5 linked regions of the Ovis aries genome follow. The protein of the gene in region 2 interacts with the protein of the main gene of each other region in a biochemical or structural test. Links are inferred from orthologs where the notes say so. Each region holds a gene or a part of one and is shown on either strand. Other genes may lie near its edges. The genes, in order: ELK1, MAPK3, GAB2, PTPN7 and MBP.

Region 1 (5,382 bases), on a different chromosome or scaffold from region 2:
CCTTCCACAGTGCTCCCCAACACCGGCCCTGCAGGAGTAGCAGTGCCTCCCTCGGGGAGCAGGAGCACCAGTCCAAACCCCTTGGAGGCCTGCCTGGAAGCTGAGGAGGCTGGCCTGCCTCTGCAGGTAAGGACTGGAATATGGAATTTCAGCAAGAGGAGGGATGTACAGTTCCCAAATGAAGAGAGGGACTGGGAAGAGGAGGGACATAATGTCCTGTTAAAGATGATATAATGGAAGGAGAGACACAGAAGTCCCCTTGGAGAAAGAGATGGGGAGGAAAACTATTCAAAACCCTGGGAAGGAAGAAGGAAATTGAGTGCACTACAATTAGCAGTACACCCAATATGTAGTAGGTGCCCTTGAATGTATTTGCTTAATGCACTGGCTCTCACACTTTTAGCACTCATCAGAAAGCACTTAGAGGGCTTTTAAAGACAGACGTGCTGAGGGACACCCCGAGAGTTTTTCTTTATGTGAGTCTGAGGATGGGCCCAAGAGTCTACATTTTTAACAAATTTCCAGATGAGGTGTATGCTGCTGGTCCATAAAGCAAATTTTTGAGAACCACTGCTTTTATACATGGGGGCAGTATTTCCTGGAGTCCCACCCCTGAAGGCAACCCAGATAAGAGGACCAGAAGCCCCATTTTCTTGGCAAAGTACCACATCTTGTTAAAGGACCTGCCCCTATTCTCAGGTCCCACTTTCCATGGGAAATAACTGGCTTCACTACCCCAGGAATCCTTAGGCATCCCTTCTGCACTCGTTCCTCTCCCAGGTCATCCTGACCCCACCCGAGGCCCCAAACCTTAAATCCGAAGAGCCAAACATGGAGCCTGGGTTGGGCCGGCCACTGCCCCCAGAAGTCAAAGTGGAAGAGCCCAAGGAAGAGTTAGAAGCTGCAGCCAGTGGGGAGGCGGGGTTTGTGCTGGAAGCCGTCAAGGCCGAGCCCTTTGAGCCCAAAGTCGACCCAGAAGTCCCTCCAGCAGAGGGCGTGCCAGCCCGGCTGTCCGCTGTCGTAATGGAAACTGCGGCGCAGGTGGGCGGCCTCACGGCTTCTACAACACCCAGCGCGGAGATTGCCCAGCCTCAGAAGGGCCGGAAGCCCCGGGACCTGGAGCTTCCACTCAGCCCGAGCCTGCTGGGTGGACCAGGACCCGAACGGACTCCGGGATCGGGAACTGGTTCAGGTCTACAGGCGCCAGGTCCAGCGCTGACGCCTTCCCTGCTACCTACGCACACATTGGTGAGCACTTTTGAAGGGGCGGGGCTGGCACCTGGAACAAATGGGATTGGGGCGGGGTGGCGCGGGGTGGGGGAGGGAGACTTACCGCGAAGGCCAATGCGATTACCTCGGAAAGAGTGAGAGGGTGGAGCCTTCGAGTGGGATTGGCTGCGTGGAGGGACAGGCGTGATTGCTACTGGATGGAGGAGTCTGCAATGCCAAGGATCAGGTGTCCAAAGAAGGGCGGTTCTGGGGAGTTTTGTGGGCAGGGACCAAGAGGCTTTCTGCAGGAACTGTTTCTGGGTTGAGGCATGGCTTGAGGAACCTGAGTGGGGTTTTTGGGGTCTGAGATTTTCTCAGCGGGTTTCCTGTGAGGTTATGCAGGTCTGCGGAGAAGGCACTGGCACCCCACTCCAGCACTCTTGCCTGAAAAATCCCATGGACGGAGGAGCCTGGAAGGCTGCAGTCCATGGGGTTGCTGAGGGTCGGACACGACTGAATGACTTCACTTTCACTTTTCACTTTCATGCATTGGAGAAGGAAATGGCAACCCACTCCAGTATTCTTGCCTGGAGAATCCCAGGGACGGGGGAGCCTGGTAGGCTGCCGTCTATGGGGTCGCACAGAGTCGGACACGACTGAAGTGACTTAGCAGTAGCAGCATGCAGGTCAGGGATAAGAGTTGGAAGTTGATCCTGAGCTACTGGGATTGTGAGGTTTGAAAACAGCGGGTGGGCTCTTGGAGGTGGTCTTGCCTGGGGTGGGCCCTCTGGAGTTAGAGTTGTCTGTGTGAAGTCAGAGCTGTCACAGACATGGCCTCAGTAGTTATGGTCTAGGCCTGTGCACTTTTGAGGAGTGATCTTGGAAGTATGAGTGGGAAATCAGGTGGGGCCAGAACCAAGTTCCTTTGGTTTTCCCACAGCTGCCCTCTTGCTCACTTGTGCTCTGACCATCCCTTCCCCACAGACCCCGGTGCTGCTGACGCCCAGCTCGCTGCCCCCCAGCATTCACTTCTGGAGCACCCTGAGTCCCATTGCACCCCGTAGCCCGGCCAAGCTCTCCTTCCAGGTAGGATCAGCTCCCCGATCTCAGAAAGTGTGAGTGACCCTAGCACGGTCCCCATCCATGACCTCTCCCTATTTCTGTCCTCAGTTTCCGTCCAGTGGCAGCGCGCAGGTGCACATCCCTTCCATCAGCGTGGATGGCCTCTCAACCCCCGTGGTGCTCTCCCCAGGGCCCCAGAAGCCATGACTATCACCACCACCACCACAACCACCACCACCCCTTTCTGGGGTTACTCCTTCCATGCCCTGAACTTCTCTCCAGCCAGCTGTCTCAAGGAGAAACATAGTTCAGCTGACAGACTCGTGCTCCAGTTGTGGTTGGGTAGGGATTCTTAGGAAGAAGAATCTCTCAATAACCCTTCCACAAAAAAAAACATACAACTTCTCTCTTCTTGATCAGTCCCCCAGTGGCCGCTCTTATACGTCTCCTACTGCAGTGGTGGGGACGGTTTATTTATTTATTTTTTGAAGGCCACTGGGAGGAGCCTGGCCCAACTCTTTTGGAGGGGGTGGCAAGGGCATCTCCCCCGTGTTCCACATTTTTTCCCCAAGATGAGACAATCGGGGTCTGGCTTGAGACAGGCCTTTCTTTATTTATTTCTCAGCCTGCCCTTGGGGAGCTGAGGGAGCCCTGTCTTCACTTTGGGGTATGGGTAGAAGAGCTAGCTTGTTGTAGTTTATTATTCCTGGCCTTCCCCAAGGGTCCAGGAAGAATTTGTGCCATTTAATGGTTTGGGAGTCTTGGCCAAGGAAGACTCACACCCTTGGAGATGGGAATTTCCACCTCCCCAGCCTTTCTCTCAGATAGGTTGTCCTTTCTCAACCACCTTTTCGGCCAGGGAGGAATGCCCCTTTTGTTCTTCTCCCCCCTGAGAAGCCATTCCTGTGTCTGCCAAACTCCTGGGGTCCTGCCTGTTACCTCCCAATGGAGGGATTTTGGGGGAGTGGTCCCCGTCTGGGGGGCCCCTTCAGCCAGTACTCCAGGTCTCCCTGTCCCCCACCCCCTGCCATTTTGATAGTATAATCTATTTTTAAACAGGGCTTTTCAATAAGGGAGAGGGAGGTATCTCTTCCTATATCTGAGATGGGGTGGGTGGGAAGGAAGGGATTTGGGGGATCTCCCTGCCACCCCCAAGTGTTTATTTTTGATACCAAATGTGTATTTTCAACTCCCTCCCAGTCCCCCAATTTTCCTGCGGGCGGGTACAAAGGACCCTTTATGTGTCCCTGGAGTTGGGAGGGAGGAACAAGGGACATAAAGCCTGCTCAATCTGAATTCCAGGCTGGAGGAGGGTGGGTTCAGAGGACTCCTGGGTTCACCTCCCATCAGCACCGTCCCAGCCCGGGCCTAGGGACCTGGGTCTTGGTGATTTGGGGGACGGTGCTACACCTGTCTCCACTGTTTGTTTTACTTCCTCCCAAATGGATTTTTTTTCTAAGAGTCCCAGAGAATGGGGAATTGTTCCTGTAAATATATATTTTTAAAGGTGATGCTGAAGGCTGGTAGCATTTTTTTCCCTGAAGCCGTTGGGAATAACTGTGTGCAAAGGCACAACTTTGTGTGAAAGGCCATAAGGGTGTGAGATTGATCATGGGAGAGAGAGCATGATGGTGTGTGTCAGAAAGAGTAAAGACTACAGATTGGTAACCAGGTGTGTGAAAAAGAGAAAACTCTGGCAAGCTGTGATTGCACATGTACATTTGTGAAGTCATGTATTGAGAGAGTAGAAGTTGTAACCACAAACTTGACATTGTGTCTATGTGAGAAATTGTGGCTGGGTGGTAAAAAAACACAAAGACTGAATGAGTGGTTAAGATACTATGCCAGAAACTGGTGCTTTGTGTGAAACAATGTTTACGAGAAGGAAGTGGGGACTGCTCATCAGTCACTGTTGGACAAGCTGATGGTGAGCAAGAGAGAGTAACCAAAACAACATGTGAGAGCCTGTATAGGCCTGAAAGTGCAGTGGAGATTGTCAGGGACAGTGCATAGGTGAGAAACTTCATTGTAAGTAGGCAGGTGACTCAGTGTTTAGGAGATGGGTTGTGTGTGAAACCGTTCATGCAAGGCTGTTGGATCAACTAAAGTAATGAGAGCGTGTGTGTGAGAGGTTGATTGTATGAGAGAAAATAGCTATGAGGCCAGATGGGTGCCTGAGATTTAAGATACCAGAATGCGTGATTGTATGTATGAAAACTTTCTGTGAGATTAAACACTAGCAAAGACTGCATGAGAAACAGAAAAAGTGGCTGCAGCTGAGAGAGTGTGAGAGGCTGTAATGTGTGTGTACGTGTGCATGTGTGTGTGTGTGTGTGTGTGTTCCTGAGCCTAGTGGCATATGGATGCAGTTACTACTCCAATCTAGCCAACAGGTTCAGGGACCATGGAGGTATAAGAGAAGATGATGGTGAGACAGAGTGAGTGGAAGTGTGCTAGAGACCACTTCACTGTGAGTGAGAAGCGAGGAGTAAAAGAAGGAAGTCAGCGCCACATGAGAGAAAACTGATGACTGAGCAGTGTGTGAGAGTGGAACATTTCATATAGTAAACCAGAGATTACATGCTGGTGAAAAACAGAAAATGAAGCTGAGCAAATGAGACACTGAGAGACTGTGCGGTCAGTTTGTGCAAGAAATCGGGGAGGCTCTATTTGTGTTTGAATGTACAGGATACTCTGGCTGGATGGTGTAAACAACTAAGATGAGCTGTGAGAAACTGTGTGTGTGAGACTTGCAGAGAGCCTAGTAACAGTTGTGAATTAGTGACTACAGGATGTCAAAGGGTGAATGAGGGCAAGTGACTGTGACACTGAACCTGTGACAGAATGTCTGACAGGCTGAGGGTCTGTGAAAAACTCTAAAAGAGACTTTAAAGACTGTAGAACAAAGACTGGGCATGTTGAAAGCTGGTTGCAAAGAAATGTGAGACTAGGTGACTAAGACAGTGTCTGAGACACTGATTGTGCATGAGTGAAATTCAGCCTAGTCAGGGACTCTAGGTGTGTGAAATGGGCACGAGTATGGAGAGGTGAGAGAGAGAGTGATCATGTGTGTTCAAGGAACTTCCAGAGGGACTAGCGGTGGCTATAAAT
Region 2 (6,316 bases):
TTCTCCAGAGGATCTTCCTGACCCAGGGATGGGTCCCGGGTCTCCTGCACTGCAGGCACACTCTTTACCTTCTGAGCCACCTGGGAACTTTGACCCTAAAGAAATCTCACCTCCAGTAAGCAAGTTTCCCTCCCACTCAGCTGGCCAATACCCCCTACCCAGAATGTGGTTGAGCTGGTCCAGGTAGTGCTTGCCGGGGAAGATGGGCCGGTTGGAGAGCATCTCAGCCAGAATGCAGCCCACAGACCAGATGTCGATGGACTTGGTGTAGCCCTGGGGAGGAGGAGAAAAGTGGTGGACTCCTGGGCCAAGCCGGCACCCCTGACCCTAGGGTCAACACCAGCCAGGGAGGCAGAGCGAAGAAGCCTGGGGAGTGAATCCTCAGTTTCTTTCCATAGCCCAAGGACCAGAATAATGTGACAAGGCCCAGAAGGGACACTTCCTGCATCATGAGGGTCAGTGCTGGACTCAGAGGTGGCTCCAGGGCTTTCTGGGATCCGGTCTCTTCCCTTCACGGGTGGGTGGGCCCCCTACCTTGGAGTTAAGCATGATCTCTGGGGCCCGGTACCAGCGTGTGGCCACGTATTCCGTCAAGAAGCCAGTGTGGTCATGCTCGGGATCAGCAATCCGGGCAAGACCGAAATCACAGATCTAGAATGCAAACCAGGCTGCTGAGCTCAGTGCTCAAGGCCTCCTGGGCCCAACCAATCCTATCACCCATGTCTCTCCTACCCATGGCAGGAAGGGGACTACTGGTCACCCTGAAGCCTGAGACCCCAGGGGCAGAAGGAGACAGGCACGCAACCCTCAGACCTTAAGGTCGCAGGTGGTGTTGATGAGCAGGTTGGAGGGCTTTAAATCCCGGTGGAGCACGTTGGCGGAGTGGATATACTTCAGGCCCCGCAGGATCTGGTACAGGAAGTAGCATACATGGTCGTTGCTCAGCTGCTGGCTTTTGAGCAATTTGTACAGGTCTGTCTCCATCAGATCCTGCACGATGTAGCTGAGGTGGGTGCCAGAGGCCCCCCAGGTGGGGGCAGTGGGAGGCAGTTGGTTAAGAAGAACAGACTCTGCTGACCAGGTTTCACATCCCTCCAGCTGATGCCCCTGGGACTCAACAGATCTGCCAGCTCATATCATGAGCTGGGCAAGGCCCACACTTAGCAGGTGAACTCAAGGCCTCTGCTGGATCTCAGCTGGTGACCCTGAGCAAAGCGTCGCAGTTCTGTAGCCTCAGTCTCCCTATTGAGAAAATGGGGATAATAAACTGGGAAGCAGGAGAACGTCCCAGCTAAGAGCAGTAACTCTGGAGTTCACCTGCCACTGTCAATCATTCCTGCACTGGTCATTCATTCACTTTAGGAACTCAAGCCCTGTCTGCGCCTCTCTTCCTCATCTGTAAAGGGGAAAAAAAATCCTTTTTAGAGAGTGGTGGTAAAGATTAGTTGAGAGATGACCCAGGCAGTGCAGCCAGCTTGGTGCCTGGCACGTTGTAAATGTTCGGCAAATGTGAACTAGTATTGCTGTTATAAAAGACTGAGCCACATGGCTGTTGAGAAGGTTAAATGAGATTATGTATGAACACCATCTGGCAGGCAATAAATGTTTGCTTAAAAATAAATGCCTGCCTTATGGGGATGGTTTGTGCAAGACGAATGAGGAGAAACTTCCCAGCGGCACGCTCCTACTCCGGGGGCTTGGCCCTACACCCGAAGACAGAGGAGTAAATGTCCTTTTATACTCTAAGATAAAAAAAGAATTAAACATAAACAAACAAATAAACGTCATGTGGGTTGTTTCTGGAAGACTCAGTTATGGCTGTCTTTCAGAGTCAGCCTCAAAAGGGCCTTCCGAGAACACCTGGACCAACCCTGCTATTTTAAAGATGAAGAGGCCCGGCATGCTGCAGTGACTTGGTTAAGGTCACACGACAAGCTGAGGGTGAGTGTGGAAGTTTCCTGCCCACAGTTTGTGGTGGGGGCTGCAAACAGTGCAGTACAGATCACCACTCTTGGGGGAAGGACTGGGATGGTGGGGGTGGGTGGGGTAGGGGAGAGGTGATGAGTGTAAAAGCTCCTAACAGAGCCAGGCAGGAAGTGGACCCACAAACTAGGAAAGCAATGTGTGTGTGTGGGTCGGGGGGGCCACAAAGGCAGGTCTGTTCCTCCCTGGGCAAGGTACGAGTCCACAGGTGACTGGGGTGGGACTCTGAGCAGGAAGTCCCAGAGAGGGGACAGGTTCTTGTCTGGGGGAGGGGAAGAGGCAGCCACAGAAGCACTTGATTTTATTTCAGTTTTCTGAGCCTCAGTTTCCTCATCTTTGAAATGGAGCTGCTGAGACCCATCTCCTAGGGCAGTTGGGAGTTAGAATAGGAAATGTCAAAGCACTCGGCTTGAGCTGCACCAGACTCACAGTAGGCCCTCAAAACAGGGCAGTGTTCTTCCCGCCTGCCTTCCTGCCAGTCTGAGGACCCAGAGAAACAAGAACTGCCATCAGTTAAACAGAAGAGCTGACTGTGGGCAGAGGCTGGATCTCCTCACAGAATTGCCGATGTCAGAGGACAAAGCTTCCACAGGGCTCATCTTGCCCAGCCCCCTACGAAGCCAAGATCGAGAGAACAGACTTGCCCAAGGCCACACTGCCTGGCCGCAGCAGGCCAGGATTCATCTGAGGCCTCTCTGCCTTCTTACACTGTGGCCTCTTGACCGCTGGAAAGTTTCCTTTACTGGGTTTGTTTGGAGGGAGGTTGGGAAGAAGGGAAGAGAAAACAAGCCCCTGTTCTCCCAGCCCGGCTCTGAGGCTGGGCCTGGCCAGCCGTCTGGCCCAGGTGAAGGATACACATCCCTCATGGCTTCCAGGGTGGGTGCTCGCAGAATGTCTCGGATGCCAATGACATTCTCATGGCGGAAGCGCAGCAGAATCTGAATCTCTCGCAACGTGCGCTGGCAGTAGGTCTGATGCTCAAAGGGGCTGATCTTCTTGATGGCCACTCGAGTCTTGCGCACGTGGTCGTAAGCTGAGCTGAGAGGGCCAGAGAGATGTTGGTGTCCAGGCCCGGTGGCCCCACCCAGGCCTTGGCAGGGCGGGGAGGGAGCAGGAGAGGGCTCTGGCCAGTCATAAACAATGCTAGTTCCTTCCTGCTGTGAAGGCCTGGGATCTCCAGGGAGAAAGCTGGGGACCAGCCAGCCAGCCCTTCGGTGACTTCACAAACAGAGGAAGAGACTGACCGCTCACTGACTTCCCCTCTCCTCAACCCTTTCCATTCGAGCTGCCCTGACCCCTCATCCTCCCCTTCCCACGATGGGCTCTCTCAAGCCAAGACGGGTCCAGGGGGTGGGAGATGTGGAGGACTGGACAATGAGGCAAATACAGTGAGAAGGAGGGAGTCGGAGGAGGGACTGGAGAGAAGGGAGAGGCAGGGCCGGGGCGGGTGTCAGGGGGAGGTTCCTGGGCAGCAGAGCTATGTCCAGCTGAACAAAGGCCCAGAGCACCCAGTGCGGATAGGAGAACTCACAGACCCCTCCTAAAAGTTGCAGGAAGGTGTTCCTGGACCCCTCATGGCTCACTGGGTCCCTGGCCCCAGGCCCAAAGCCCCACCCCACCCCACCCAGCCCTGAGCTTTGCTCTTTTTTCCCAAACTCCTTGGCAAGCCTCACTGGGGGGTGATCCAAGACATCCTCTCCCCAGTGAGGGGACCCTCTCTCCTTCTTCACTAAGGATATCACCTCCCCAAGAAGACTAATTCTCTTCTCCTCACCCCGTGATTATGGGGTCCCCAAGGTCCCCAGAGCTCCCCCACATACACTCTGATGCCCTACCCTTCATTATTGAATAGTCAGTTCAAAGCTCCCAAACCTCCTCTCCTGAGACCTTACGCAGTGACCCCCTCCCCCAGAAAGCACTCAAAGGCCCTCCGCCTGGGACGCTCCCCAGCCTCCTGAAGCCCCGGCTTCTTCAGGATGCTCAGAGTCCGCAAGGCCCAGAGAGCTCTCAGCACCCCTCTCCGCCCCCTCCCCAGAGACGCCCCCTCCCCCAGAACGCCCCTCACCTGACCATGCCGTACGCGCCCTCGCCGATGTACTGCAGCTGCGTGTAGCGCGGGCCCACGTCGAACGGCTGCCCCTTTACTATCTCCACCTCCCCCGGGACCCCCGGGCCGACCCCATCAGTTCCCCGGGGCTCCCCGCCCCCGCCCCCCTGAGCCGCCGCCGCCGCCGCCATCTCCACTCCTCCCCTCCCGCCCGCCCGCCTCCCCCCGGCGGCCCCGCCCGAGGCCCCGCCCCTTCCCGCCCGCCCTCTCACCCGCGGAGCCGCGCGCGCCAGGCCCCGCCCCCGTCCGCCCCCGCGGCGTCACGTGACTCTCCCCGCCGCGCGCGCGCCGTTTTCCCGCTGCTGGGGCTGTGGTCCCTGGCACCTGTCGGCCTCGTCTGCTCCAGTCAACGTAGAAGCTCCCCAGGGCAGTCTCGAGACTGTCCAGACCCTCCCCCCCCACCCCCGCCACCGAATGCTGACCGGTAGGGCGGCCCGGTGACCTCACCCAGAGCCACCTAGCAAATGAGTGCTGGAGCTGGGACCCAGACCGGGCCACGTGGCCCCGCTGTGCCCACTCGGCCCGAGGAGTAGCCCGGGGCTCGAGGTGGAACCTCCTGGAGCCAGGCCCGATGCCGAGTGATATGATGCTTATTTCATAGTAGCCGTGACAGGTGGCTTCCTCACACATGGGGCCTCTTTCACAGATGTGGAAACTGAAGGTGACTGGGCAAGGTAACTTGATTGCTGGAAAGCCCAGGCATCTTGACTCCCTGCCTAATGGTTTTCGAATGGAGACCTGTCAAAGTGGGCTAGGGACCGGACCTCAGCAACCTGGCAGTGCCTGTATCCTGAGGACAGATAATCCCAGCCTACCTTTACATGGAGGCATAGGGAAGAGGTGAGGGCTGCGTGGACTGGGTTTGGTGAAAAATACACTCTCAGGCTTTACTCAGAAACAGCAGGATAGCTAACATTTTTGTTGTCCTTGGATTTGACAAAAATTGGAACCGAGATCATCATCTTTTGCTCCTGTGCTAGACTTCATAGTTTACACAGCATTTGGTCCACTTTAATTTCTTCATTAGAACCACCCCACAGTGTAGGTGTCATCTGGTTTTCTGAGCTGGATGAGCAGAGGGCCATGTCTGTCTTGTTCATTGCTGTAGCCCCCACCCACCCCCATCCCTACAGTCAAATGTAGACACTCAAAAATTTTGGAATAGGTGAATCAAAGTTTTACAGAATGGGAAATCTGAGAGTTGAGGAGCTGAGACTAACATGTATCTTCTGACACACAGGCAGAAGTTCTTTTTAATTGCATTCTGTCTCCCAGACTGTTAAACTGAAGAGACCATCCAATCCATCTCCACTTCACAGTGAAGATGTGAGCTGGGAGCTTCACAAAACACATCTCCTAGGCTTCAGGAAGTAATCACGTTGTTTTTGTCTTCCTTGGAAGCTGGGAGTATGTCCTTGTATGCACTAAAGATCAAGAGACAAAATGGAACAGAAATTATGATTCTGAAATTGCTCATAATTAGATCTATGGTCAGGCATTCTAATTCAGATTAGTAACACTGAGAGTTGCTAGTTCCCAGGAACCCACAAGTCAGTGAAGGTTCAAGATGTGCTAATTAGATCAATGGGTTTTTTTGTTGGTGGTGTTATTCATTTGATAAGCTATTGACTGGCACTGTGTGCAAAGCTCTGAGCTAGGAACTAGGGCTGATAAAAGATTACTGGATAGTGTGAATTAGTAGTTAAGAGCAAGAGCTCTCTGGAATCAGGTTGCCTGGATTAGAATCCCATTTAGGCCACTTGTCATGTTATCCTGGGCACATTACCCCACTGGCCTTTCTACTTATGGAGTTTCTCTTCCACTGAAGATGCACAAACAGAAATCACTGTAATCCAGAATGGATGGGTGTAATATGTAGGGTACGCTCAGGGGTGGGCAAGATCACTCTAGGGATCTCCCGCAACTGTTAGGAATCTGGTTGCGCAGCAGGAGTGAGTGGCAGGCTAGCAAGGAGCAAAGCTTCATTTGTATTTCCAGCGACTCCCCATGGCTCATGTTACTGCCTGAGCTCCACCTCCTGTCACACCAGGGGTAACATTAGATTCTGATTGGAGCGTGAACCCTACTATGACCTATGCATGCAAGGAATCTAGGTTGCACATTCCTTATGAGAATTATCATGAAACCATTCCCTACCCTTTGTTCATGGAAGAACTGTCTTCCATGGAACTGGTCCCTGGTCCCAAAGAGGTTGGGGACTGCTGC
Region 3 (5,712 bases), on a different chromosome or scaffold from region 2:
CCTTCCAAAGAACACCCAGGACTGATCTCCTTTAGGATGGACTGGTTGGATCTCCTTGCAGTCCAAGGGACTCTGAAGAGTCTTCTCCAACACCAGTTATCAGTAAATAAGTACTGGATTAATTACTGAATCATTTTCTCCCATCCAGGTATTAAGCAGGCCCTTGCTTAATACTTGGGTGGGAGAAAATGATCCAGTAATTAATTTAGTACCTATTTATTGATAACCACCTATGTGCCAGGCTCAACTGTAAACACGGAGAATATAGCATGGGATAAAAAGAACCAATACCTGCCCTCATGAAGTTTCCATCCTAGGAGCTGGGTAGAATCAGCAGCCATACGGTGTTGTAGGTGGTGTGAGTGCTGGTGAGATCAGCATAGCAGAGTAAGGGGGAGAGAGTGTGACGATTGGGCAGCCAGAAAAACAGTCTGTCCAGTAATGGGACATTTAAATAGTGACTTGATGGAGTACATAAGCAATGGGAATATGTGGCGAAGGAGTGTTCCAGGCAGAGGGAACAGCCAGAGCAGAGACCCTGAGGCAGGAGTGTGTGGCCAGCGTGGCTCAAGCAGAATGGGCGCGGCAGAGAGGGGCAGGGCTGAGGGGAGAGCTGTGGGTGAGGCGGTGTCGCCCAGTGCTCACTGGCCACTGCGGGGACTTCAGCTTCTGCTCTGAGTGCAGTGGAAAGCCAGAGGGCACTTAATGCAGAGAAGTGCTATGCTCTGATTGACACCAGCTTCCACGCTGGGAACAGATTGCCAGATGGAAGCATGGAAGCAGGCAGGCGGCCGAACGGTGGACCTGACCAAGTGCGTAACAGTGGAGGTGTGGAGGAGTGACCGGGTTGTAAATGTGTTTTGAAACTGTTTGGACCAACAGGATTTGCTCTTGGGTTTGGAAGTTGATGACTGACATCCAGATTTTTGGCCTGAGCAGCTGGAAGGTTGGAGCTGCTCGTAACTGAGATGGGAAACATTGCGGGAAGAACAGACTCGGAGGATGGGAAGAGCTCGGTTTAAAGGAAGTTTGTGATGCCAGGGCTTCCCAGATGGCTCAGTGGTTAAGAATCTGCCTTGCAAAGCAGGGAGCGCGGGTTCGAGCCTTGGTTAGGTAGCTACGATCCCATGTGCCGTGGAGCAGCCCAGCCTGAGCGGTGTTGCCCCTGAGCCCTCGCGCACAACTAGAGAGTCCATGCATCTTGATGAAAGATGCCATGTGACACAGCAAAGCTTCCTCATGCCCCAGCTAAGACCTGATGCAGCCAGACAAATAAAATATGTTTTTAAAGAAAGATTTGAGATGCCTATTAGTGAGGAGCAGGTATGAGACTCTGGAGTTCTATAGATGGGTTTGGGCTGGAGCTATAAATTTGCGAATTACAGCAGTTAGATGACTTTTAAAGCTGTGAAATGAAATAAAATAACCTAAGAAGAGGATATAGAAAGAGGAGAGTCTAAGAACTGAGCATGGGGGCGTTCTAGCCTTTAGAAGTCAGTGAGACAAGGAGCAACCAGAACTGGAAGCTGAAAAAGAGAAGCTGGGAGGTAGGAAAATTGAGAGTGAGCACTGAAGCCAAATGAGGAAAATGCTTCAAAGAGAATGGAATAGTAAACTTTCTCAGATGTTGCTGAGAGATCAAGTAAAATCCAAATGTTGCTTTGTGTTGAAGTCTTTAAGACCTCTGTTGAAGGAGATGGGGGTTGGGGGCAGCCTGCTTGTATTGCTTCCAAGAAAAGAATGGGAGGAGAGGAAACAACGATTAACACTGTAGAAATCTCTGAGGTTTTTCTGTAAAGAGGAGCAGAAAACTGGGCCATAGTTGGAAGGGAATGTGGGATCAAGTCAAACTTTTCTTTTTTTTTTTTTCTGAGATGGGACAAGTTGGTGTCCTGATGGGAATGATCCTAGGAGGGAGGGAAGATGCCATGTGCTGTCCCCATGTCGTGAGAGGGGGTGATGCTCTGGCGGAAGAAAGTGGGCCTTAGACTGGATGAACCATCCATGCTGCACAGTAATAAACTGCTTTGCTATAATGCAGGCAGACTGGTAAATACGGGGATGGAACATGTGTAGATTCTCTTCTGCTTGCCTGTATAGTCTCATACCAAAGAGTGGAGGTGCTACAGCTTTAAATAGGGCAAGGTTCAGATGATTGCCAAGAGCAACAGAAAATCAGGGACCAGACAAATGTAGTAGACTGTTGGAGCAGGAGGGCTCACTTGAGCTTAAAGTGAGAGGAGCCAGCGTGGTTGTGTGATTTTCTCCAGCTCTGAACAGCTGAGTGGAAACAGGCAGAGTAGGCTAAGCATTAGACTTAGTCAAAGGTTATGGTTTCCTAGATAAAGAGAGGAAGAGAAGCAAGAGAATGATTATAATGATGGATCACAGGAACAAGGCAGGTGGAAGGAAGTGAGGATGGAGACAGAAGGGGAGAGTGCAAGGTGCCAGGATTCATGGAGTGAAGTCCCAGTGAGGTCTAAATAACCGCGATGATCCTTGGCATCAGTGGCGCTTTAGGACAGAGGAGCTGGAAGGCTGCAGTCCATGGGGTCGCTGAGGGTCAGACATGACTGAGTGGCTTCACTTTCACTTTTCGCTTTCATGCATTGGAGAAGAAAAAGGCAACCTACTCCAGTGTTCTTGCCTGGAGAATCCCGGGGACGGCGGAGCCTGGTGGGCTGCCGTCTGAAGAAAAAGGCAACCTACTCCAGTGTTCTTGCCTGGAGAATCCTGGGAACGGCGGAGCCTGGTGGGCTGCCGTCTATGGGGTCGCACAGAGTCGGACAGGACTGAAGCAACTTAGCAGCAGGGTTGCATCATAGTGCTTTGTGTGCAGTATAAACCCTATAAGGTAGGTAGGACAGTTGGTGATGGTATTCTATTCTGTAGATAAAGCAAGCTCCAAAGAGGTAAATAACTTTATGTGAAAATCACACAGCTAGTCGGTGGTGAAGCACAGACTCCACCCGAGGCTCTGTTTTATTTGTGATATCTTTTTACCACTTTGTGTGATGTCTGCTCACAGATTACTCGGTCTCATTGAAGACAGGGAATGTAGACAACATAAGGAAATGTGTAACTGAGTGTTAAATTCTATAATATGGCATGACATAAGGAGTTTATTCATTCAGTAATGTATATTGAGTGCTTATTATGTACAGGGCTGTATTATAAATACTAGGGATATAGTATTATCCACTATATATAGTGACTGAGATGGGGGAAATTCTGAAGTTTTGTGCTTCAGGGAGGTTTTAGAAGGGTTTCTGTGTGGTTCCTCCAAGGCATCATGATTGGGTAAAAAGCACCAGGTACTGAAAGCTTGGAAACTTTTTTCTCCGCTACTTGCTGTATGTGACGTTGTGGCTTCAACTCAGTCTGTCTTAGTGGGGGACCCCATCCGTAAACTGAGATGTTATGGCTTTGCAAGTTCCACCCTGACTAAAAGTCCTGTGAGTTTGAGGCTGTATTCTAGCTTAATGGAATAATTGTGTAAAGTGTGTTAGTCCTCATCTGACTTCTTGAAATGACGTATCTCGTTTCATAGTGATAAGACCCTGTTTCAGTAATGAAATGCTGCACTAATGTGTATGCTAAAGTCATCCGCTGTTTTTTAAACTCTGGGAAAGCACAAAAAGGAGACAGAGGCCACGCTCGGCTGGCAGGTGCAGCAGTCCCCACCCTTAGCCTGGTGATATCTGAGGACCTGTGAAAAGCTTTGAATTGACTCATGACTTTCCCCCTGCTCTCACTCCTTCCCGTTCAGGCCTGGAAGAAACGCTGGTTTATCCTGCGGAGCGGCCGGATGAGTGGTGACCCCGACGTCCTGGAATACTACAAGAATGATCACTCCAAGAAGCCCCTGCGCATCATCAACCTGAACTTCTGCGAGCAGGTGGATGCAGGCCTGACCTTCAACAAGAAGGAGCTGCAGGACAGTTTCGTGTTCGACATCAAGACCAGCGAGCGCACCTTCTACCTGGTGGCCGAGACGGAGGAGGACATGAATAAGTGGGTCCAGAGCATCTGCCAGATCTGCGGCTTCAACCAGGCAGAAGAGAGCACAGGTACGAGACGCTTCTCAGCAGGGACCAGGTGCCTCCTGGCAGTGGCTGGGCCCCTGGGGCCAAGGGGACGGCCTTCAGACTCCTTGAACAGCAGGGCAGGCTTTAGCTAAAGGCTGTCCTCTGAGGTGGGGGAGAAGTAGGCAGAGGGGAGGAGTCTGAAGGGCTTGGCCACAGGGTGGAGGTCCTCCTAGCCCTGAGTCTGCTCATGTGGAAAGCAGGCATGTTGGGGTTATGATGAAGCTCGAGGTGCTGCTGGTATTTCTTCAGGTACCTCCGCGCCACCCCGTGTCTCAGGCCTGCCCTTTCTCCCCTCAGCTCTCCAGCTCTCTGTGCCTGGTTAACCTGTCACCCACACACGGGCGGCTTGCACCTTGCTCTCTTCTTTGATGCATCCTCTGTCCACTCCTGTTTCAGAACAACGTGCATAGTTACACTAGCCGCTTTTCTGGTAAGGGGAGGTGTGGGATTCTTTGTGAGTACTGTTGATGCACAATCCACTGTTCTTTATATTTCCCTGGAAACGGACACATGAGAAGGGGGAGATTCTGACTTGTGTTCAGATTTTGTTAGCCTTCACAGAAAGAGTAGCTCACCATTTTTAAGTGAGGCTTCAGCTGCAGAAATGCTCTTTGCCATTTGTTTGGGCTCATCCACAACTCTAGGATGATTGAGGAGTAGGGTTCTTTTTGTGTGTGTGGCAGATGGAAAGCCTAAGTTAGTAGTTTCCTAAACCTGGTTACATATCAGAATTAAAGAGGAACATTTTTTAAATGTTGATGCTAGGGATCCATATCACATCAGTTAGCTAAGAATGTCAGGGGTGGGACCTAGGCATCAGTCTTTTAAAAGCTTCACACCAAGTGGCAAGGGTCTGGGGCTCAGCATCCATTTTCTGTAAATAATTGAAGGCCACATACAATCTCTGATTCCTATACCTGTTTTGTAAACTTCTTAGAACCCTTTAAAAACATGAAAACTGTTTCTAGCTCATCAGCAACGTCAGCCTCATCTGGGAACCCATTAGAAATGAAGATTCTTAAGCCCCACCCCAGACTTAGTGAATCAGAAACTCTGGAGGTGTTTTAACCAGCCCGCCAGGTAATCTGATGCATGGTTAAGTTTGAGAACCACTGATTCAGACTCTTACTATCAGAGTGGAGTTTATGGACGAGCAGCATCAACCTCTCCTGGGAACTTGTTACGAAGACAGAAGACTTCTACTCACTCAGACTTACAGGATCAGAATCTGCATATTTTTTTCAGTTTCTTATTCTGAAATAATGTTGAGCTTACAGAAGAGGTGCAGAAATTGTACAGCAAGTTCCCATGTACCTTTCATCCAGCTTTCCCTAACCTTAACATCTTTCTTAACCAGAGTATACTTGTCAAAATGTTGATTGGTACAAGACAGTCAGTTGCAGTGTATTGGGATTTCACTTGTTTTCCACCAGTGTCTTTATTCTGTTCAGGATTCAGTCCAGGATAGCATATTAGATTTGGTGGTTCTGCCTCTAGGGCCTCCAATCTGGGATGCCAGTTTCTTAGTCTCTTGTTTTTCTTTGACCTTGACACTTTTAAGGCATACTGGCTAGATATTTTGTAGAATCTCCCTCAGTTTGAATTTGTATGATGTTTTTTCATG
Region 4 (6,248 bases), on a different chromosome or scaffold from region 2:
TTTCTCCGCATCAGGTGGCTGATGCGGGCTATTCACCTCCGCTCCCGGCCGGTGTCCCACCCACTCAGAGCCACGGAGGGCTCGCGTCTGCGCCTGCCGCCTCCCACCCTGCAGGCCGGAGGCTGGGCACTGGGCACTGGGGACAAGTCTAGGCGTGGAGTCCACCTGGCCTCCCGGCCTCTGGTTCCTTAATTCCTTGACTTAAGCTGCCTCCGAGAAGGAGGGGCCGCCTGGAGTAGCGAAGGCAGAGGGGAGGGAGCTGGCCGAACGCCTCACTGGGCTGCGGACCTGGGAGTCTTGGGCTGGAGTGGCCAGGGCAGCTCTCCACGGAGAGGCTGGCAGGTGTGGAGGACCAGGGGCAAAGGGGACTGGGGTCTTCCTTCCAGCTCCTGACGTCTGCTGCGTGCATCCTGGCCCGTTCCAGCAGCTTACGGGGTTGGAGCCAGGACACCAGGGGCTCCGCTGGGCTGGGTGGTGTCCTGGGGCGGGGGTGGCTCTGGACACAGCACCCCCTTCCCAGCCAGGAACTCACCCGAATGTAGTTGGCGTTGATGTAATCCCCGTCCTCCTGGCTCTCTGCCCGACCCAGACAGACTCGGCTCTGGGGGTCTAGAAGGGAAAACCAGCAGAGGTCAAAGAGCGACCAGCAAAGCAGCCACATCCAGGGCCGGCGAGAGGACAGCCCTATGCCTGTTGAGGCGCCCTCGAAGAGCAGGGGGTCGCAGAGCGTTCCTGAGCAGCAGAGGCCTGAGGCCAGGGCAGTGCGGGGAGGCCTCGGGCGGTGCCAGCAGGACGGACCGGCGGCAGGGGGCAGCTACTGAGCATTCCAGCCTGAGGGTCAGAGAGGGGCGGAGAGGGGTCACAGCAATAAAAACGGAGAGAGATGTTCGAGGAAGAGCTTTTCCTGAGCGACCCCACTGGAACTCAGGCTCCATCCCACACCCGCCTGACCCCTTGAGTCAGCCTCTAAGGGGGCCTTTCTTCAGCTCCAGTCCGGGCCCGATGAAGACGCTGGCTCCCAGGGGCCAGCTGGTCTGGGTGGAGGGCACCTCGGGGCCCAGAGCAGGCTGCCCCCATCCCTTCCGTGGGCACTAACAGGCTAGCAGCGGGCTGCGGCCTCCAGACTGGGGGCTGCTGGTCAGATAAGGCTGCTCTTCGCGGAGCAGGGAGGAGACCTCGTGGTCAGCGGGCCTCGTGGTCAGCGGGCCCCATGCGTGCCTCCAAATACAGGAGGTGCTGACCCGGGTCTGTCAGCCCCATGAACCCTGCCTGCCGCCTCCTGCTCTGTCTGAGATCCTCAGCATCTCTTGGGAGCCGTCCAAACGGGGCTTGTCCCCTGCAGACAGTGCGGGCCGTTTCCCAGGCAGGAGGAACAGGAGGAAGGGGGTTGGTGCGCCTGACTATGTGACCTCAGGTGAGCTACGCGGCTTCTCTGTAACTCGGTTTCCTCATCTGTAAAACGGGGGTCAGGGCAGCACACACCGCCTACCCGGGGCCGCGCTGAGCAGTGCTGGCCCATGGTCCGGGCCTAGTCTCAGGCTGGCGTGATTTCTGCCCCCCTTCCCTGGCCAGGGCCAGGCGGGGGCACCCCTCTGTCAGAAGAAGAGGCCCCACGCGGGGCAGCCCCCTCCTGGCTGGGGCTGCGTCTTGCCCTCTGAGCGCCTCCACCCCGGCCCCACCGCAGTCCTTACTTGGCAAGATGGTCTTATATCGGTCCTTGGAGGCATGGCCAGGAATATTCAGGTCTTCGGGGCTAACGAAGTTTGAGGGGATCCTCTGGCGGGGGCGGGGAGTAGGTGTGTGAGCAGCAGCCCCCTTCCCGGCCTCCCTTCCCTCACTCCTCTGGTGGAGGGGCCCCGTTCCCTCCTGGCATCGGGAGGCAGGTCTGGATGGGGTGCAGGGAGAGGGTGGAGCCGTCTCCTTCCTGGAGCCCCTGGGGTTCTGTCTCCCAAGGGCCCACGGGGACAGGCCTGCCAGCTGCTCCTGATCCAGAGGGGCAGTGACTCGGGGGGCCCTCGTTCTCACCAGGAATTCCTCTTCCAGCTGCGTGGGGCTGGGCGGCCGGTGCTGCAGGGCCTGCCGGCTGAGGGGGCGTCCGGCGGAGCGCAGGAAGTGCAGCGTGACCTCCTGGGGCGTGCGCACGGAGCAGATGGGCTCCACGGCCCCCAGGGACCGCACATCCAGCATCAGGGCCACGTTGGAGCCGCGCCTGCAGCAGGGACAGCGTGGTCGGCCTCAGCAGCCACGGCTGTCCCGGCACCGCTGACGGCGGGCTCCCTGTCTCCTCGCCACCCCGAGGCCCAGGCCCCCGGCACCCCTGCCCCTTGTTGGCCAGTGAGGAGGCTCCAAACCCAGCTGCCGCCTCCAGATGCCCCCACTTCCCATTCCTGGCTCGGCCCCTAAAGCTCAGGCCCACACCCAGGCCTGGAGGCTCCGGGCCCCTCGAGGGGTGCTCAACCCAGCCTGGGGCTTGGGGCGCAGGCGCAAAGCTGACACAGATATGCAAATGAGCAGTTTGGTTTCCTCCGCCTGGGGAGGCGCGGGGGTCCCGCCGCAGGGGCAGCGGGGGGCAGCGGGCTCGGCCAGGCCTTCCTGAGAGGGTCTCACCTCTCCTGCAGCCGGACGTGCTTCCTGGCTGGGGCCTGGTCAGGCGGAGGCTGGGTCATGGCTGCCTCCGAAGGCGACTGTGAAGGCGACGGGGAGGCCGGGGCGGCGCTCTGGAGCAGCCCCCGGGCCGGGACCATGCTGGGGGCGCGCCCGGGAGCTCACACGGCCATGTGGCCTGGCCTCTGGGCTGTTGGGTGGCCTTCTGCCCTTGGGCACCTCGGGTCTTCTCGCTCTTCCGTTGTTCCCCAGGAAGTGGCGGCGTCGCTCTGTGGGAAGGCCAGGATCTCTGCAGGGGCGTAGAGTGGCGGCCGCCTGGGGTTAGCGCGGGGGCGAGATAAAGGGTCACGACGGGGGCCGAGATAGGACAGATCCGGAGGAATCCGGAGGGGCAGGGGCTGGGGGGTGGGCGGCGTGCAGCCGTTCTGGGTGGAGGGTGGGCTCACGACCCTGGCTTTGCAGGGGCCTCCTCTGGACAAGAAGGTGGACCTCCGGTGTGCTTAGGGCAGCCGGCCCTTCCACCCAGGGTCGTCCCGGCCTCTGGGGTCTCCGGCCCGGGAGGGGGCCTGGGGGTGCTGGCTTCCTCCCGCCCATCCCCCGCCCGCCGCAGTAACTGTCACAGGAAGTGGCCTCACCGAGCCACAGCTGGGGGCACAAGCCGGGTGCCTCACCGAGGGCACGGCCCACCTCCAGGCCAGGGCCCGGCTTGGAGCTGAGAGGGGTGCTGGGGTCGCCGCACCCATGGGGTCTGAGTGGGCAAGGGCGGTCACAGCAGGACGCCTGTCTGCCCTCCCCGCCCCGCCATGCCCGCGCGCCCTTGGGGCCATCAGCGGCGGCGGCGCCCCTGCCCACCTGGCGCGGGACCCCCTGGGCGCCCTCCTGCTTGCCCTCCCGGGGCCGCCCTCCCGGCCCTCCGTGTCCCTCAACCCGGGGCCCCAGGGCTCCTCCCCGCCCCGCAGGTGCTTACGAGGCGGCTGTGTCCCCAGGCGCCTCTCGCCAGCTGTCTGCCTGTCTGTCGGTGTGTCTCAGGGCTGGGGAGGCCTCAGGAAGCCCGCTTCCTCCCCCCGCCCCTCCTCGCTGCCACCCACGCACACCCAGCTGCCTATTGCCACCAGCGGGCCAGTGGCCTCCCGCCTCTGACCCCGCGGCCCAGCCTGTCCACACCTTGGCCACAGCCCGGCCCTGACCACTGCCTCCCCTGCAGGGCTTCTCCTCCGGGCTCTGGTCGCCTCTTGCCTCTGCCTGCTTGCTGGGGGAAGCGGGGCCGACCCCCACCCCAGGCTGCCCCCCGGAAGCCCTTGCCCCTTCAAGCTGCGGGAATCCCAGCAGGAACAGGGAGAAGCAGGCACACACGGGGATGGGGAAGGGGGGCAGGAGTCTCTCTCCATGAAGGGAAAGGCTCAGGCCAAGCCACAGGGTCAACCTCAGGCCCCCAGCTCCGAGCGGGTCTGAGCCAGGTCAGCCACTCTGGAGGTAGGCAGTGGAGACACCTCGTGGCAGGGTCTGGGGGCTTCCCCCTGCCCCCAGCCCCACAGGCCTTTTTCCAGAACCCTGACTTCTACTCAGCGACCCACAGAGGGTGGGCCTCTGGCTCTCACACAAGGGGACCCCCATGTCTGCTTTGCTGCTGGGGCGCTGGGAGCCTGGGCCCTGGGTAGGGGAAACCCCAAGACCCCACTGCCCTGCCCCTGGCTCACCTGGTGGGCTTCTTGACATCCCCGACACCTGCCCCTCCCCTCCGGGGCCCACAATCCTGTCCTCACCCCACCACCCACTTCCCTGACTCAGCCTTCAGAAGGTGACAGCAGAAAGCGCTGGGGACAGGCCTGGGGTGGCATGCAGGAGGTGGGGGGCTGCCTTCAGGCAGGGCAGGGTGGCCCTCTGGTGCTCAGGGGCCAGGCCGGGGACGCCCAGGTGGAGGGCATGGGGCAGGAGTCTGGGGACCCTGGCAGATCGGGGGGCGTGGCCTCCAGCTCAGCCGGCCGGAAACCCACCCGTATTTCCACTAGTGGGTAGCGGGGGGCCTGGGAAAGGAAAGGGGGCAGGAGGGGGTTGGAAAGAGGGCCACCCTCTCTGGGGCAGGCTGCTGATTCTTATCACAAACAGGAAGCTAGGATACCGCAGGAGTGGGGGGAGGAGGCGGGGATGTGTGTCCCGCACTACACCGCCAGTGCCCCCAGGCCCCCAAGGTCTGAGCCTGCGGGCTGTGAGCGCCCCTCCCCTCAGGGTTTGAGGGGCTGCAGGCAGAGGTTTTGGCTGGAGAGCTGGGGGCCCAGAGGTGCAGCAAGTGGGCGGGGGCGGGGTGGGCAATGGTTGGCGCCAGGTCAGGCCCCAAGCACGGCTCAGTCCCTTTGGCCGTGTTTGGGGGCGACACTCACCTTGCCTCCTGCTCACCCCATGTCCCTTTCTGCTTAAGAGATGCCTGGACTTCGCTGGAGGTGCAGACACAGCTGGGGGGGGCCGGGTGCCAGCAGAAGCCTCAGAGAAGACAGGGTCCTTCAACATCCCCCGGCCTGGCCTGGGCCCCGTCCGGGGTGGACTCTGCCCATCCAGGCTGCGGGGTGCAGGCAAAGGCCTGGAGGCTGCGGGAGTGACTCCCGTCCTGAGCCTTCCCTGCTCCTGGCGTGGACCTGCCCCGACGGCAGCTCTCAGGCCACTCACTCCTCCTGCCAATGTGCGTCAGAGCTGGGTGGGGGGCACAGGAAGCCAGGAAGCCCCTCCTGAGCCCTGCTGAGACGGGGGTCCCTGCTCCTCCCTGCTTCTCAGGAGCCCTCTCCCCAGGGGCCGAGGAGCGCCCCTCCCTCATCGGTCAGAGGGCGGGCCCAGGGGTGCTCGGAGCCGTCCAGTGGCCCCAGGAAGGGGTGATGGGGCTGAGGTCTCCGAGCCGCAGCTCAGCAGAGCCCCGCACCCTTCCTCCAGCCGCTCCCCAGGTCCAGGGCTGGGAGCCCCAGGGTCTTGAGTATTGCGTGTTGTACTGGTGTATTGGGAATTTCCGGTTCCTGCAGCACCTGCCTGCCCTGGGGTCAAAGGCGGGCCCTGATAGAGCCCCCGAGGCAGTCTCAGGACTGGCCCACTGTGGGGGCCCGGCTGCCCCGGCCCGTCCTATCCTCTTTGCTCCTCTGAGAGGAGAAGCCCTGATCCCAGGTGCCCCCCACACCCCTCCAGACCCTGGGCCAGCAGGCTTCGTGTCCCTGGCTGTGTGGGGGAGACAGAGACACAGAGAGCTGGAGAGGTCCCAGGGTGTGGGAGGCTGGGCCATCCAGAGCCTCCGGCCCTTCTCCTCCGGGAGACTATCTTCCGGGCGTGGGGGTGCTCAAGGCCAGGCTGCCGCGGTGGGCGTGAAGGGGCGGGCCTGGAGGATGGACGCCGGGACGCAGCAGGGGAGAGACCGTTGGCACTCGAGCCAGGGAGCCACCACGCCCAGACTGCCCGCCGCCTGCCTCTGCGTCCAGCCGGTTCTCCCCAGAAGGACGGTAAGGCAGGCTCCGGAGGACCCCTGGGGCTCCAGGTGGAGGATGTGGGTGTGTCTGTGGGAACGGCTGCAGGGAGCAGCCAGAGCCCCTGGGGTACTTTCTGCTGGACAGCCGGAGACCCTGGGGCACTTTCTGCTGGACAGAGACGCTCGGCTGGGAGGCTGCTTCCCA
Region 5 (6,507 bases), on a different chromosome or scaffold from region 2:
GAGAACAGAAACTCTAGACGCAATTAGAGTGGGAGGATGATATCTATTGTGTGTGTACACATTTCCTTCAAAAATATGCTGAATCCAGAATATCCTTCTGTAGCTCAAGAGTGAATGGGTCTTACGGAAAGCAGTTTGCTTTTATTTTTATTAATAAAATTAAGCTATTCTTAAAGAAAAATGCTAGATACATATGTATATATACACACACTTTTTGTATAAATACAAAAGCAACAAATTGATGGTAGAAAAAGGCATGAAAGATGTTTTTTGTTTGTTTTTTCCCACACAACGAAAGTTGTACAAATCTCCTTGCCTTTTTATTTCTTGGATAAAAAGAAGTGACAGGTGGCTTGTGTGTGTGTATGTGCGCGCATGTGGTCAAGAGATCTCTCTCAAATGTTTTCCTTGTTTACATAACTTTTTCTGTTACACGTTATGGAATTCATGCACCTAATTTTCTGGCACTCACATCTACAGTGGAGTCTGTTCGGTTATTAACTGGAATTTATGGCAGAACCATCAAGCCTCAATAGTGTACAAGTAGACTATCTGCTTTGTGGGTATCGCCAGCAACTATTCATCACAAACCAGAGATGAAAGTGATTCTAGGTCTAAGCAAAAATATAATTCCAAAGATACATCCGTTGATGAAGGGATTTTTTAACTCATGCAGTCTGGTCTCCTGGACATTATTTAGATTAATTTCCTGACTTCCTTCAGTTTGGGTAATTTGGAGATTTAACTGGACTGAATAAAAATGTACTGAGTGTGTACCATGCAGGAAACTTCGTGCTCCTGCTCCAACATGAAATGCGGAAGGCTCCTTCCTCTCATCATATGAAGAGCAGTGGGGGATAGGGGGAGTGGTCGTATACCTTGCTCAGAAATATCAGAGACAATGAGGTTTGGATAGTTTATCTTTTACCTGTCAAAAGACCCATTTCAACTTTATTGAAATTAGTAACATAAACCTCTGTCACCGTGCTCACAGACGCAAGACCATCTTCATGTGAAGTGTGACCCCACAGCCCCAAGGGGAAGCGGCCCCCTCTGCCTCCTTCACGCTGGTTCCTCCCACCAGCACGAGGGGCCCGCCAAACACCCATTCATCACTTTATCGTGTTCCTTGCTCCCTCGTGTACACTGTCCTTGAAGTTCCCATGAATCAGGGGGCATTACATCCCCCAGTACATGCATGGTGGGATTTTATAAACACTGTAAGGACCATGTTAACTGGAACTTGGCAGGACTGCCGTTTGCAGAGATGGCTGCTGGCATCGGTGACGTTTCTACAAGCAGGCAGCAGGGCAAACATTGCTGCTCCCCTGTGGCCTGGGCTCCCCAGTGTTCAGCCCTCACTGACCTGTGCAGGTCAGAAGGCCATCCTCCTGTTTCCTGGTCACTCCAGGAAGACATCTGGGGGAAGCAGATGAGATGTGGTTTGTGATGCTCAAGTGAAAGTCGCTCAGTCATGTCCAGCTCTTTGCAGCCCCATGGACTGTAGCCCAGCCAGGTTCCTCTGTCCGTGGGATTTCCCAGGCAAGAATACTGGAGTGGGTTGCCATTCCCTTCTCCAGGGGATCTTCCAGATACAGGGATCGAACTGGGGTCTCCTGCATTGCAGGTGGATTCTTCACTATCTGAGCCACCTAAAACTGACTTCCATGTGGAACCTAGTATATATGGGGGTGGGGGGTGGGTTGCATTTTAAGAGTGACTGGAGTCAGGGACCTGGGAGTCAGGGAGCTTCTGGGGTCTGTCAGTGCCCTGAGCGTCCTTGGATTCCTCCAGCTCCCCTACCGGCACCCAGCCACCCTCTACTGCAAGGAGGGAAGGCCCCACAGAAAACCGGGAAACAGGTAAACTTCACCTTCTGCACAGCCCGCGTCACTGCTCAGCTGTCTTCCTGACCTCCCATCTCCAACTCCAGAAACCCCCAGACGAATCTTTTCCGAGGAAAGAAGCAAATGTTTCTGCAATGGTGGACACCGTTCTGGTGGCATTACCAGCCCTGGAACGTGGTTCACAGACCCCCGGTTTGTGAGGGCTGGCTGGGACAGGTGGCCCTGAAGCCACACTGGGCGCTGGCTCTCCTCGCGCGCTCTGCCCGCCCAGGAGACCCGGGTTGAGCCTTGCCAGGGGTCAGACTTCCGCTCCCCCGGGGAAACAGTGAGGGTCCCCGCCGGCTCCCGGGAACTATCAGATCAGACCCCCGACCTGGAATCTAAGTCGTGAGGACTCCAGCGTCTCCCCCAACGCCTCCTATTTTTCCACCATCAGGAGGTCGAGAATCCGGGGTGGGGGTCGGGGGAAGGGCCATCTGACTGTGTGCAGGTGACTGACGTCCAAAGGACAGTCTTCCTTCGGACCAAGAACTCGACACTGACCGCAAGCCAACAGATGCTCAGGCCGCAGACCCCGGGGCGCGCCCTCCCGCTGTGGCGCCGCTCTCCGGCGAGCACCTGTCTGTAGGCTGGATGCACGAGGACCTCCGGGCGTTCTCAAGGGGCCAGTCTTGCGGCGGCCCTGAACCCCGAGCCCGCGCAGCAGAGTCAGCCGGGCGGCCGCGCTTGGCCCCTCGCCGCCCGCGGAACGGGGCGTGGAGCAGATGCTATCGCTGGTCCCTCCCCGCGCTCGGGCGGGGTGGTTCGCAGGCTCAGCCGCGAGCGGAGGCTCTAGAGCCGCAGTTCAGCCCGGGCCGGAGTCCGCGCCGCCCAGGGCAGCCCCGCGCGGGGCCCGCGTGCGCCCGGAGCCCGCGAGGCGGAGCCGCGGAGAGGCGGTCGGCGCGCGGGCGGCAGGTGGGAGGCCCGGCTCCCGAAGGCAGTGTTTACCTGGCTCGCAGGAAGCCCGGGAGGCGGGGGAGGAGCGGCGGGCGCGCCGGGCCCTCGGAGCTGCAGCCAGACTGCGCCGCCGCGCCAGCGAGGACGAGCCTGCGGCCCCGGCGACCGCGGCCGCGACCCCGAAGGCGGCGCCGGAGCCCCGGGACCCCGCGCGCTTGGGGCCCCGGCGGCGGGAGGCGGCCCGGACCCCGCGGCGCCCGCGGCCTGGAGAGACGATCGCCGCGCGGTGGGTGACCTCGCCGGGGGCGGGCGGGTGCCTTTGTCTGCGCCCTCGGAGCGGGGACGCGGGAACGGGGCGCAGGGCTTCCCCGGGCGGCCGCGCAGGTGGCGGCAGGTGGCACCCGGGCGGCCACTCTGCGAGGGGTGAGCGCGGGTGTAGACGCCGACCCGGAGCGGCGGGGCTGTCCCCGACGGGTGTCCAGGTGTGGGCAAGGCCGGGTCGGGGGCCGGGGTCGCGGGCAGAGCGTAGGAGGCGCTCGGGGTGGAGTTTTGGGTGGGAGGTGGCAAAGGTCAAGGAGGCCACCCTGGGCGGTGCGGGACCGCTGCGAGCTTCAGGGCAGGCCGGGGTACCCGCCGCTTAACGCGCCCCGTAAGGATACGTCTGGAGCTTACCGCCGACTCCTGCCTGCCCCCTCCCCCAGCCCGGGCGAAAACCAGTTTCCCTTTGAACGCCGAGGGCGGCGACAGGCGACGCTCCGGGCTTCCGCCTTCCGGAGGCCTGGCCTGGCTCCGCCGCGCCGCCGCGTCCACCTGCGCCCACCTGCGCGCCTGGCGCCCGGGTGTGAAGCCCCCCCTGGGCCCGGGACTGGCCGGCGTCCCGAGGGTGCCGCGTGCTCTGCACGATCCCCAGGCACCCGGTGGCTCTGGCTCCTCTGGACTGCTGGGGGCACTGCCTCGTTTCTCCCAGGCTCTCCTTTCTCCTCTCCTTTCGGAAGGCAGAGGGTGGGGTTGGAGAAGCCTTGGAGTTTCTCTGGGGATCTCAGTAGGACTCTGGCAGGAAACAAGCGCCTTTGGGTTTCTGGTTCTCTGTTTTCCAGTAGCGACAAGGTGAGGGAGTCCATACCGTGAGTTCACAACCTCTGCAGCGCGGCTGGAGTGTGTCTGGGGAGACCCAGACCCGGTTGGGGGCGCTGGCTGTTCTGACAGGGACTCCACACCTGGCCTGGAGAGATTCTCAGAGGAAGGGCGCTTTAGGGTGTGTCCCATTTAAGACATGTGGCTTTTGGACAAGACCCCCCAGCCCAGGGAAACGGTTTGCAGAGTATGGCCCAGGAGTCTGCGACACCCCGAGAGCTGGGCTCAGTCCTGCCCCCGGCTCCCTGGCAGAGTCACGCTGGAGTGCTGGGGGCCTTCGTGGACGTGGGGAGCTGAGAGGGGTGCAGACCCAGACGGAGCTAGGCCGGAGCAGCCCTTCAGGAAGGGATGGTCAGCACTGGGTCGCAGCCTCACAGCTGTTTCTCCCAGTTCAGGGGAGGGGCCGTCTGTTCTCCAACTTTTTTTTTTTTTTCCAAATGGGATAAACCAAAACCTGAAAGGAGGGAATCCAGTTAAATATTATGTAAAATGGTGGCTGATAGTAGCTCCCAATGGTTTAACTGTTCCGAAATGACTACCTTTACTAACTCAGGGTTAAACAAAAGCTATTTGGTTCAAATTCACTTTAAAAACTTTCCAAACTATCCCATTTCTGCCCAAAGACAAGAACACTTTTGAGTCACTTGTGCTGTGATTTGGTGTTGAACCGCTCCAGCCTGGTTTGGACTGGGAATGGCTCTGGCCACTTGCCCTGAGGAAAGGCATCCATGAAGGCGGAAAAGGGCAGAGACCAAGGTTTCTGGCGATTCTTCCTTTTTCCTCCTGAATTTTTAAACATTAATGGGAGGTTACGTTGTTTGACTTTTAGTTTCTCTCTCGAGTCTTTAAAAATCTGACACTGGATCACAGCTGTCCCTGGGCCTTTTCTCCCCAGGTATCCAGGTAGCGTTTCTGACCACTTCCCAGTGGCCAGGCCATCTTCTGAGAGCTGCGTATCATTGCATTAACAGGTGTAATACCCTAGGATGCCCTCATTTGATGTAACTAGCCTATTAGAACTCTCATTTTCACTGAGTAGGAAACCAAGGCACAGAGATCCCCTGGGGGCGCCCAGGGCTCAGTTCCAGAAATCTGACACCAGCCCCTGTTGCTGCCCTTCAGGGCGAAGAGGGCAACTTGCAACACCCACCGAGCTGCCTTTTTCTTCTCTGGCTTCCCTGGTGGCTCAGAGGTTAAAGCCCCTGCCTGCAGTGCGGGAGACCTGGGTTTGATCCCTGGATTGGGAAGATTCCCTGGAGAAGGAAATGGCAATCCACTCCAGCATTGTTGCCTGGAGAATTCCTTGGATGGAGGAGCCTGGTGGGCGATAGTCCACGGGGTCGCAGAGAGTCGGACACAACTGAGCTTCATTTCACTTCTGTTTAAAACCCCACCACTAACGGGTGGCTACACCCAGCAAAGCGTGCTTCCTCTGCAGGGTGGTGGGACTGGAAGGCTGCTGTCTCGTCTCTGTTCGTCACCTCTTCCCTAACTTCCTCAGCAAAGATATCAATAAAGAGGGAAAGACAGTTCTCTAATGCCTCAGCACGGTTTTTAGTAAGTCATCACAAGCAGTGAATCACTTCCACTGGTCCTTTAGAGCCACTGAAGGAAGCTTAAATCAGCCTGAGCTTGCGGGCCCCAGGAGGTGGGTTTAATCAACAGTAAGTGTACAGTAATTTAACCAACAGTAATTATAATGATGCTGAAGCTCCAGTATTTGGGTCATCTGATGAGAAGAGCTGACTCATTGTAAGAGACCCTGATGCTGGGAAAGACTGAGGGTAGGAGGAGAAGGGGACCACAGAAGATGAGATGGCTGGATGGAACCATTGACTTAATGGACAGGAGTTTGAGCAAGCTCCAGGAGATGGTGAAGGACAGGGAAGCCTGGTGTGCTGCAGTCCATGGGGTTGCAAAGAGTCTGACACGACTGAGCCACCGCAAAACAGCAGCAGTTATACGTGGGGAGGCCCTGCTGGTCCAACGTCCTCCTAAATGCGTGGCCTCAGGCTTCAGCCACAGAAGCAGAACCAGCAGAGACACACACGCATGACTTAACGTGAGGAACCGGGGCCAGAGAGGCCTGCAGGCCTCAGGCCGGAGCTCTCGGGCACAAGCTGAAGCTGCCTCCAGAGAAAGAGCCAACCTCACGTTACAGCCGGGAAAAGATAACCAGTAATGCATATTATGAAGCTCTTAGCAGTGTCTGAGAGTCAATAACTGTTAAAAATTCATAAATATGGATCAGAACTCTGAGCATCACTGAGTAAGTGTGAGGCTCTATTATAATAATAATAAAAAAGATGGATGCCCGGAGAGTGAGGATAGACAGACTCGGGTGAAGTATCTGGAATGTACCAAACATTCTAAGACTCAGCAAAATAAACCACCCAAGAGGAGAAGTAACTGAGCAGGCTGGCCCAGAAGAGAAAGCCCAGGGGGGCTAGGAAAATGGGAAGGGATGTTTAACCCACCAGTTCTCAGAAGCAGAAATCACATCAATGGGATAATTTTTTATACCCATCTGTAAAGATCTTACCGTCTGTGCCAAGTATTGAGGAAGATAAGGAGAACTGAGAACTCCCAT

What was found.
Region 1: of the proteins of MAPK3 (region 2) and ELK1, one has a biochemical effect on the other in vitro, tested with the Homo sapiens proteins (6 studies listed by BioGRID and IntAct, with this or other methods). The link is inferred for Ovis aries from reciprocal best matches to the Homo sapiens genes MAPK3 and ELK1.
Region 3: of the proteins of MAPK3 (region 2) and GAB2, one has a biochemical effect on the other in vitro, tested with the Homo sapiens proteins (2 studies listed by BioGRID). The link is inferred for Ovis aries from reciprocal best matches to the Homo sapiens genes MAPK3 and GAB2.
Region 4: the proteins of MAPK3 (region 2) and PTPN7 form a complex in vitro, tested with the Homo sapiens proteins (3 studies listed by BioGRID, with this or other methods). The link is inferred for Ovis aries from reciprocal best matches to the Homo sapiens genes MAPK3 and PTPN7.
Region 5: of the proteins of MAPK3 (region 2) and MBP, one has a biochemical effect on the other in vitro, tested with the Homo sapiens proteins (5 studies listed by BioGRID). The link is inferred for Ovis aries from reciprocal best matches to the Homo sapiens genes MAPK3 and MBP.

The regions. Positions count from the first base shown.
Region 1 is NC_056080.1:57,190,123-57,195,504, forward strand, and holds the end of ELK1 (ETS domain-containing protein Elk-1), read left to right. Parts: coding exon 1-126; intron 127-780; coding exon 781-1,248; intron 1,249-2,193; coding exon 2,194-2,295; intron 2,296-2,379; coding exon 2,380-2,478; 3' UTR 2,479-3,782; downstream 3,783-5,382. UniProt on the Homo sapiens protein: Transcription factor that binds to purine-rich DNA sequences. Forms a ternary complex with SRF and the ETS and SRF motifs of the serum response element (SRE) on the promoter region of immediate early genes such as FOS and IER2.
Region 2 is NC_056077.1:26,691,151-26,697,466, reverse strand, and holds the start of MAPK3 (mitogen-activated protein kinase 3), read right to left. Parts: upstream 4,244-6,316; 5' UTR 4,222-4,243; coding exon 4,049-4,221; intron 3,022-4,048; coding exon 2,839-3,021; intron 1,004-2,838; coding exon 814-1,003; intron 652-813; coding exon 535-651; intron 274-534; coding exon 159-273; intron 1-158.
Region 3 is NC_056074.1:15,343,699-15,349,410, forward strand, and holds part of GAB2 (GRB2-associated-binding protein 2), read left to right. Parts: intron 1-3,769; coding exon 3,770-4,070; intron 4,071-5,712. UniProt on the Homo sapiens protein: Adapter protein which acts downstream of several membrane receptors including cytokine, antigen, hormone, cell matrix and growth factor receptors to regulate multiple signaling pathways.
Region 4 is NC_056065.1:79,808,636-79,814,883, reverse strand, and holds the start of PTPN7 (tyrosine-protein phosphatase non-receptor type 7), read right to left. Parts: upstream 3,627-6,248; 5' UTR 3,572-3,626; intron 2,920-3,571; exon of another isoform or gene 2,894-2,919; 5' UTR 2,745-2,893; coding exon 2,608-2,744; intron 2,210-2,607; coding exon 2,026-2,209; intron 1,777-2,025; coding exon 1,692-1,776; intron 610-1,691; coding exon 533-609; intron 1-532. UniProt on the Homo sapiens protein: Protein phosphatase that acts preferentially on tyrosine-phosphorylated MAPK1. Plays a role in the regulation of T and B-lymphocyte development and signal transduction.
Region 5 is NC_056076.1:2,416,811-2,423,317, forward strand, and holds the start of MBP (myelin basic protein), read left to right. Parts: upstream 1-2,596; 5' UTR 2,597-2,611; coding exon 2,612-2,801; intron 2,802-6,507. UniProt on the Homo sapiens protein: The classic group of MBP isoforms (isoform 4-isoform 14) are with PLP the most abundant protein components of the myelin membrane in the CNS. They have a role in both its formation and stabilization.